Linked DNA regions of Sus scrofa. The protein of the gene in region 1 interacts with the protein of each later gene in a pairwise test. Links are inferred from orthologs where the notes say so. Each region holds a gene or a part of one and is shown in the gene's direction. Other genes may lie near its edges.

Evidence for each region.
Region 2: the proteins of ZC2HC1A (region 1) and CASTOR1 interact in binary tests that used the Homo sapiens proteins (3 or more experiments, as listed by UniProt). The two-hybrid records come from large-scale screens. The link is inferred for Sus scrofa from reciprocal best matches to the Homo sapiens genes ZC2HC1A and CASTOR1.

What each region holds. Positions count from the first base shown.
Region 1 is NC_010446.5:57,816,912-57,821,413, reverse strand, and holds the start of ZC2HC1A (zinc finger C2HC domain-containing protein 1A), read left to right. Parts: upstream 1-1,522; 5' UTR 1,523-1,653; coding exon 1,654-1,669; intron 1,670-4,502.
Region 2 is NC_010456.5:47,263,721-47,268,190, reverse strand, and holds the start of CASTOR1 (GATS-like protein 3), read left to right. Parts: upstream 1-1,461; 5' UTR 1,462-1,633; coding exon 1,634-1,746; intron 1,747-1,760; exon of another isoform or gene 1,761-2,113; intron 2,114-2,330; coding exon 2,331-2,401; intron 2,402-3,838; coding exon 3,839-4,243; intron 4,244-4,470. UniProt on the Homo sapiens protein: Functions as an intracellular arginine sensor within the amino acid-sensing branch of the TORC1 signaling pathway. As a homodimer or a heterodimer with CASTOR2, binds and inhibits the GATOR subcomplex GATOR2 and thereby mTORC1.

The sequences.
Region 1 (4,502 bases):
CCTTTGTGGCTTTATGTGGCTTCATAAAGCCTACCAGTTTATAAATTACATACTTTTTGTCTTCAGGTCACTTTAGGGCTGCACCCATGGCATATGGAGATACCAAGACTAGGGGTCTAATTGGAGCTGGAGCTGCTAGCCTATGCCACAGGCTCAGCAATGTAGGATCCGGGCCACTTCTGTGACCTACACTACAGCTCATGGCAACACCAGATCCTTAACCCACTGAGCAAGGTCAGGGTTCGAACCTGCGTCATCATGGATGCTAGTCAGATTCGTTTCCACTGAGCCACCACAGGAACTCCCCATAAATTACATACTTTTATCAGGAGAGACAAAGTTAGATATGATGTCAACACTTGGCAACTGAAAATTTGGATGAGGAAAGAGACGTGAGATTTATCATTTGGAAATGACATTAATGCTGATAACTTGCCAGGAGGTATACTGGAGTTACCCAATGATACGGATTGTTTGTCACTGCTAAATCAAATTTTCAAAGAAATTTAGTTCTGGTGAAATGGATTAGGCTGTTGAGCCCAGGTTTTAACCAGCTTTGGGGGTTACCTTCATCCCCAAGTGATTTCGACTCTGACAGACATGGGCCTCCTTCTGCCGTATGTAATTAGTTTCCCTCTTAAACTATCTGACATAGTTTTTTTTTTTTTATTTATTGTATTTTTTTTCCGCTGTACAGCATGGGGACCAAGTTTACATACATGTATACATACTTTTTCCTCCCATTGTTGTGTGGCGATTAACAAAAGTTTTTTTCCCCTTTTTTTTTTATTACTCAAATGTATTTATCACATCTGTAGTTGTATAATGATCATAACAATCTAATTTCAAAGGATTTCCATCCCACAACCCAGGTGATTAACATAGTTTTGATGTTACCTCATAGGCTGGGAGGCCAGTGGACTCCTTTAGTTCAAGGATGATCAAGTATGGGGCCAGGGGAGGTCAAGAGTAGATGAAAGGAGGGAACAGCTGTGCTTCCCTTCTAATTTTTGGACCAAGCTTTCAAGCGGAGGAAATTGTTTTCAGGTGCTGAGGGGAATCTCCGTTCCACAATCCCAGAGAGAAAGTATGATTCAGTAGGAAAAAAGTGCCTCAAATCTGAGTGTGAAAATGCAGTAAGAATGCACCCAGATAAAGGCGTGTGGCGCTGCTGAGGGTGCTGCTCCTAAGGGTGTAAGACTGGTGTTTGGTTGGCTCATTTGCTTCAAGTTCTCAGAGACAGATAGACCGTCAGACCGCGCTGACTAAGGGGCTGCGGGAACACTGAGGTGCTGAGATATTCTAAAGAGGAGGCTGAGGCATGACGAGAACAAGCCTGGAGTCGAACAAAGGTGCCCAGGGATTGCAGGATGCAATCTGGAGCGTTCTAGGCTTACCGGGAGGATCACCACCAAAGCCCAGGACCATAGCCAGAGGTGCAGCGGCCGCAGGAGGCGCACCTCCGGAGGACCCGCCCCTCTGAAAGCCACGCCCTCAGAGTCAGACCAATGGGAGCTCGGAATATTAGCGGGTGGGAGGCGCGGCCGTGTTGCTACAGCCGGAGCTGGGCGGCGGCGGCGGCTGTATCGGCGGCAGTGGCGGCGGCTGCGGGTGTTGTGCTAGGAGTGTCGCGAAGCCATACGCGGAGGCGCAATGGAGGGACTGGAAGGTAAAGAGGTGAAGGGATGCAGGCCGGGCGGCTGGGAGTGGGGTTGCAGGGAGGTGGGGCTGCCCTGGACCTCGGTACCTGGGAGGCGAGGGCAGGTACGGAGCGGTGGACCCCGTCGCGCCTCCGGAGGCCTGGGCGGGCGGGCGCCTTGCAGCCCCAGATGTAGGCAAGCTAATAATCCTCTGGCTGCCGCTCCTCAAATGGTTCCCCGCTTGGAGCCTGAGCCTGCTCTCTGGTAAACGCCTGCAGGTCGTTTCCTACCATTTTCTAAAAGGTCTTGCCGGCCTCCCCGAATGTCCTTTTGATAATCACAGCCTCCGGCCAGATTTTATTTTCCTTGCAAAGTGTACTCTCCCTTAATGTCTAAGGCCTCCCCAGTGCCAGCCTTTGCTGGAGCCCCGGGGTGTGTCGCCAACCTCGAGCTTCTGATACTTTCCTTGGCCACTTTCCTTGGTTTCCCTAGGTAACCGTTTTTCCATTTCTACAGCATCTTCTGTCGGAAGGATGCCAAGAGCATCTCCCAAGGAAGTGTCACTGGCCAGCTTTAGAGCTGAGACAATAGATTAACAGGAGGATTTAAGGGCTTATTCACGGGGACTCTGAGGAAGAGCCAGCATTGATTCCTTATCTTTGGATTTATCCTTGTGCCGTAACGACGACTCCAGATTTTGCTTTGTTCTCTATTCTTTCACTTCTCTGTTCTCTTCACTCATTTTATCCTGTGTAATATGACATGCGCTTAAAAACAACAAAGGAAAAAAACCAGTTAAGCCTTAGAAACAACAGTTTCACGATTCTTTTTCAAATTGTGGTTAATCCTTCTGATGAAGAAAAAGACTGGGGAATTGAAAGATCCTGTTTTCGTAATTTAGCCCTTTTTTCTCTTAATTTACATAGATTCAGGTGGAATTAATAAGCAGAAGCATTGAGCCCTGTGGATTGTTGCATGCTAGGGAGTAAATTATTTCAGGTTATGTTGTGAAGTGAAAAGTAATAGCTGATAACTTTTTGTAGTTACCTAAGCCCACCAAAAAGCCATTGCAATAACAAGTATGGTAATATTTTCACGCTTTTGCTCCTAGGTGAACTCTCATACTAAATACCTTGAGGATGATAGATAATTAAGAATTCTGATGATTTTCCATTTGTGGGCAGCTGTGGTATACCATAACTAATGAAATTCTTGTTCTTTGACTATTTATTTTGGCAAGTCACTCAAGTTTCCATGAAATAGGAATTATACTAATAGTATCCCTTACTCAAGATACTTTTGCTTAGAGAACTCATGGAGGCAGTTTATTTTTTTTTAAATCAATTTTCAAACATGTGGTAGTATATAGCTTAGTGGGTAGGATCATGGGTCCTGGAATTCTCATAAAGTTATTATAATACACACAAAGTGCTTTAGAACAGTTTTTCTGTAGATTTCTGTTATTTTATGCAGTATTTGAAATTAAGGCAAAGATCTTCATATGATTTTTAATTTAGGTATGCTCAATATCTAAAAGAGTGTCTGACACAAAGTAGGTATTCAGTATTTGTTGTGAGATAAATGGCTTTGTCTAAGACGGGCACAGCAAAAAAATAGAAAGTCAAAGCCCTGCTTTTATTGAGTGTACATTTTAGTATATTTTTAACAGTCCTAAGACATTACTGTTGATATCATGCTGTGTATACTTTTAAAATATAATGAAAACCTGTTATAATATGCAGTTACATGGGTAGAGAAATATATGAATTCTGATGTATCTTATCATGGGCATGTTTTAGGGGCCCAGCTCATGATGTGTTACGTAAACTACTTGTTTTTTACTCATTGTTGTTTTTTTTAAAAAACAAAATGAGTTGCTGGTGTTACCTGTGATGTGTCTGATTGTAATGAATCAGGTTAAAATATATGAAATTCTTCTTTTTGTAGGGAAAACAATTGAATATTGGTAATTTCAGGTGCTTTAAACCAATAAAAACTCTAAAAATCTTTTGTTGAAATCAGACAGTGCCTTTTTTTTTCTTTTAAAATTAGCCCCTGTTAGGTAATACTTTGTAAAGATCAACTTTGAGTCTTTAGTTTACCATTCATTAATTTATTCATCCATGCCTTCATTTAATATACAGTGATAAATTGGTACAGTGACAGATAAGATAAAAATTTTTCCCTATTGAAAGTCTAGCACTTTGAAGGTGTCTAATGAACATTATATTGCAGTATCCAGTAGAAAAATCTTCAGGAGTTTGCTTAACATATCATAATAATTGAGCATATATTGTACTGCCTGGCATTAGACCTGAGTTTCTAGTTGGAGTCAGCAGATTAATCCTAAATATATTGACTCTTGAAAAATTTTACTGAGGATTATCATACTCTTCTGGGACCTTTTTGTTTCCTGAATTGTCACAAGATGAGTTGTTAGGGGAACACATTTATTTACTAATACATTTTATTGGAGTATAGGTGACTTAAAACAATGTTATATTAGTTTTAGGTGTATTGTGAAGTGAATCAGCCATACATGTACATATATAACCATACTTTTTAAATTCTTTACCCACATAGGCTATCACAGAGTATTGAATAGATTTCCTGGAGCTATATATTAGGTCCTTGTTACCAAATGATTTTGTGTATAGTAGTGTGTATATGCCAATCCCAATCTCCCAATCTGTTCCTCTCTCTCAGAGTTTCCCCTTTGGTAACCATAAGTTTGGTTTTGAAATCTTTAGGTCTTTTTCTGTTTTGTGAATAAGTTCTTTTGTATCTTTTTTTATTTTATGGTTTTTATTTTTTCCATTATAGTTGATTGATAGTGTTCTGTCAATTTCTACTGTATAGCCA
Region 2 (4,470 bases), on another chromosome or scaffold:
GCCTCAGCCTGGAACATCTTGTCCTGGTACAGCTGGGGATACTGAGGCCTGAGGAGGTCAAGGGTCACATGAATCTGTCAGGGCAAACCACACCCTTCCTACCTCCTGCCCCTTACCCCTGTGGCTTCCTACCCCATGTACACCTGCCGTCAACCAGATGAGGGGCTCAGCCTCCTGAGGACACCTCCCACCCCCTGGCCCTCTAGGGGTCTGGCCAGGATGTGGTGGCTGCAGTGTTCCAGCAGAACCCACCAAACTGGTGAGTCCAGGGAGGGAAGGTGCTGCCCCACTACTAGCTGCGTGCAATTGCCGCCACCCCCCACCCCACGCCCGCCCGCCCCAGCAGGTAGGAGGCCTGCTCAGGCCTGCTGGGACCCAATCAGGCCTGAGGCCTGCTTTAACCTGCTTGGTTCAAAGCCTTGGATCTGAGGCCTGAGGATGTGCAGGCCAGGCAAGGGCCCCTGGAACATGTCCCATCCTGCTGGGAAACCAACCTAGGTGTGCTGATGTCTGCTCAGCACTGGGGTCTTTGCAAACCTGAGAGGCCTGAGCAGACCCCAGCCCTAATGTTGAAATGAACCCAAGGTGGCACTAACAAGCTTCAGATCTGGGGGCCTCCTTGGACATGAAACAAGCTTAAATGTGCTCAGGCCCAAGTTCTAATGACTGTAGGCTTTTAAGTCTGACTACACACTGGGCTCTGGATGCATGGCCCTGCCCCCCAAAGTTTGAGCTTTGGGCATTCCTGTCCCAAATACTTAAGTCTTAAGCCTCAAATGTTAGTCCAGACTACCTTCAGCTCCCTACCCTACAGTGTATTGCTCAGAGGTAGCTGGGGCCCTCCCCATCTTTGATTCTGGTGGGGAGCCTTCTACTCTGAAAGGTGGGTGAGAGGAACAGATGTGGGGACCACCAAGTTCAGGTTGGGTTTCATCTTGTTAGCCCACTCACAGGGCTCACAAAGCTTGGAGGGGTTTGTATCAGTGCTATCCTGGGCTGTGGAACTTTTTTCACTGCCACCCCAGCCAGTTCTGGTGGCCCTGCCTCATGCTAAGCCATCAGAGGAAGGAGAGGGAAAGGTGCCAGGACCCTTTATTGGGACAGAACAACAACGTCTCCTAGGTTGCACAGTGGACCCCTACCCACCCATGTTTCAAGGATTTGGGAGCAGTGTTCTGGTCACAGCCGAGCCCCGGTTCATCTTGTGGCCCTCCCAAGCCTTGGTGAACTTAATCAGAAGGCCCTTAGTGCAGAAAAGACCCCAAGCCTCCCCGGGCTCTCCGGAGCAGCTGCGGGAGTCCTGCGGAAAGGGCGGAGCCCGGAGTGGGGGAGAGGCATGGGCGGGGCCTGGAGGACGCGACGGGGGTGGGGTTAGGTGGTGATTCCGGAGCCAATGCCGAAGGGGCGGGGCCATAAGGGGCGGAGTGAGTCTCTAGCGTTACAAGGAGGCGTGGCCACCCTGGATTGGCCCCCAGTCCTGCGCGGCGTGGCCGTCAGGGAGCTGGCGTGGCTGGCGGCTAGGACTCTGCGGCGCAGCGGCTCCTTTAAGCACCTCCCGGCACCGCCCCCGCCGCCCCGCCCCCGGCACGGCCTGGGTCTGTTTGGCCGTGGGGTCGGGTCCGCGCGGACCGCGATGGAGCTGCACATCCTAGAGCACCGGGTGCGGGTGCTGAGCCTCGCCCGGCCCGGTCTCTGGCTCTACACTCACCCACTCATCAAGCTGCTCTTCCTGCCCCGCCGAAGCCGGTGCGCGTCCGGGTCCGGGCACAGAGGGGGGTGGGCTGCACTGTCACTCTGAGATGGGATCGGGAGATTAGGACCTCCGCGGGGCCAGCGGGAGCAGACAGGGAGAGCGCTCCCCGCCCCCCGCTCCCCACCGCCGCCATCCGGCCTGGGCCTACCCTCCCTGGGACCGCCGCCTATCCGGCTCGTGAGGCCCCCTCACAGAGCTTGTTAAGGCGCAGACAGCCTGGGATGGTCAGTGCTTAACTCCTAGTGGTTTCACATGGGGGCATTTCTTCCTGGCAACTTCGGAGAACTTTTTCCAGCTGCCTCTCATCGGGTCAGAGGGGCTGGTCTAAGGGGGCTCGGACGCCCGGGACTGCCGCCTTGGGTGAGCCTCTCCTTCCTCTTGGAATGCTGGGCAGGGGCTTCTGCAGAGATCTGGGCGGAGGAAAACGGTTCGCAATTCTGGAGATGGGGCCCACGCCCCACTGTTCTGGGGAGGAAATTGAGTCTGGAGGGGGCAGGGAGACGCCCAGCCGGGGTGGGGGGTGTCTGCCCGCCCCCTCCGCCCACCCAGGCTGAAGATGCTCCCTGCCCCCACCCAGGTGCAAATTCTTCAGCCTGACGGAGACCCCTGAGGATTACACGCTCATGGTGGACGAGGAGGGCTTCAAAGGTGGGGACTGGGCTGGGGAGGGTGAGTAGGGGAAGGAGGTTGTCCTCCCCTTTTTGCAGGATTCTAAGAGAATGCTAGGATCTAATGTACCAAGAGTTGGGGCCCTGAAGGCAGATGATCTGGGTTCCAGTCCATTTCCACTACTCACTGGCTGTGTGCCCTTGATCAAGTCACTTCCCCTCTCTGAGTTGTTTATTTCGTTTTATGTAAAATGGATATAGTTACGGTTCTGATCTATTTGGCCCCATGAGGGTTTTATAAATGGGGCAGTGTGTAAAGGGCATTTAGCAGCCACAGACCAGCAGCAGGGCCTCAGTTACAGCTCTGGGGCAAGAATCAGGCTTCTGTGGCTGTTCTTGCCCCCCACCCCATTATTTCCCCTTGGGCTTCACTCCCTGGTGTGGGTCACTCCCTCCCTGACTGGTCTGGGAACTCCGAGAGTCTGAGGGTTGGGGAAGGAATGCAGGAGCCGGCAGCCAGCCCAGGGCAGGATCCTACGGGGCCTCCTAGCTGTGTTTGGGCGATTAGCAGCCACCTTGGCTGTGGCCCATGTGCTGGACTGGACACCAGCCTGGTCCCTCCCTGATCCCTGGAGCTGATATCTGGCTTCTCTCCTGCCAGCTTGACCCATCCTTACAGGCCTGGAGTCTCTGGCCAGCCAGCTGGGGCTCCCTCCCTCCCCTACAGGGCTACTTAGTTTCCCTATTTATGCTGCGGAAAAGTCTGGGTCTGCTAACGAGGAAGGCATCTCCCAGCCAACTTGGACTGCTGGCTCCCCCTGGTGGTACCACATGGTGTAAGGCCTCTGATACTCAGTGCATACATACTCAGTTTCTGTAGGAGAAACAGGCTCTCAGAAGTTAAATCATTTGCCACAGGTCAACAGAAAGTAAATGATGAAGCTGGGATTAAAACCCAGGTCTGTCTGAATTTTGAGCTCCAATTTTATTTTATTATTTTATTTTTTACCTTTTCTAGGGCCACTCCCGCAGCATATGGAAGTTCCCAGGCTAGGGGTCTAATCAGAGCTGTAGCCACCAGCCTGCGCCAGAGCCACAGCAACTCAGGATCTGAGCCGCGTCTGCAAACTATGCCACAGCTCACAGCAACGCCAGATTCTTAACCCACAGAGCAAGGCCAGGAATCGAACCTGCAACCTCATGGTTCCTAATCAGATTCATTAACCACTGTGCCACGACGGGAACTCCAAGCTTCCATTTTAACTGGGAAGTTTCAATCCCTGACAGGCCAACACCCAAAGCACTTCTCAGTCTTTGCATATATGCAGGTCTCAGGAGCAGAACTTGGGGGAGGAGGACAGCTCTATTTTCCAGAGTGGACCTTACCTTGGTAGAGCCCTCCAAAGCGCAGACAGGGAAACTGAGGCCAGGGGCCAGCCCTACAGGCCCTGACTGGGTGTGTCCCCCTGCCCCACAGAGCTGCCCACGTCTGAGTTCCTACAAGTGGCCGAGGCCACGTGGCTAGTGCTGAATGTGTCATCCCACAGCGGCACAGCAGTGCAGGCTGCTGGGGTCACCAAGATTGCCCGCTCAGTAATTGCACCGCTGGCTGAGCACCACGTGTCCGTGCTGATGCTGTCCACCTACCAGACAGACTTCATCCTGGTGAGTTTCCTGCAGGTGCTGGGGCAAGGCAGGGTGGACACGGGTGCCTGGGGACCCGTGTATTGTGTCATCTTTGTGGCCCAGGTGCGGGAGCAGGACCTATCCGTGGTGATCCACACACTGGCCCAGGAATTTGATATCTACCGAGAGGTGGGCGGGGAGCCTGTTCCTGTTGCCAGGGATGATTCCAGCAACGGCTTTCCCCGTGCCCAGCATGGTGAGGGTCACCTCTGACACCCAGGCCTGGTGGGGGCTCCTCTTCCCACTGGGGCCCTTCCCTTTGTGGGTGGGTCTGTGGGCTTGGGGAGACCAGCTGACACTGACCCCCTCACAAGATAGGGAGACACGGCAGGGAAACTAAGGCAGATTCCGGTATGTAGCAAGTGACCCTACACCTAGCCCAGGCCCCCTTTCTGGCTGGCCACCAGGGGGCACTCCAGCCCA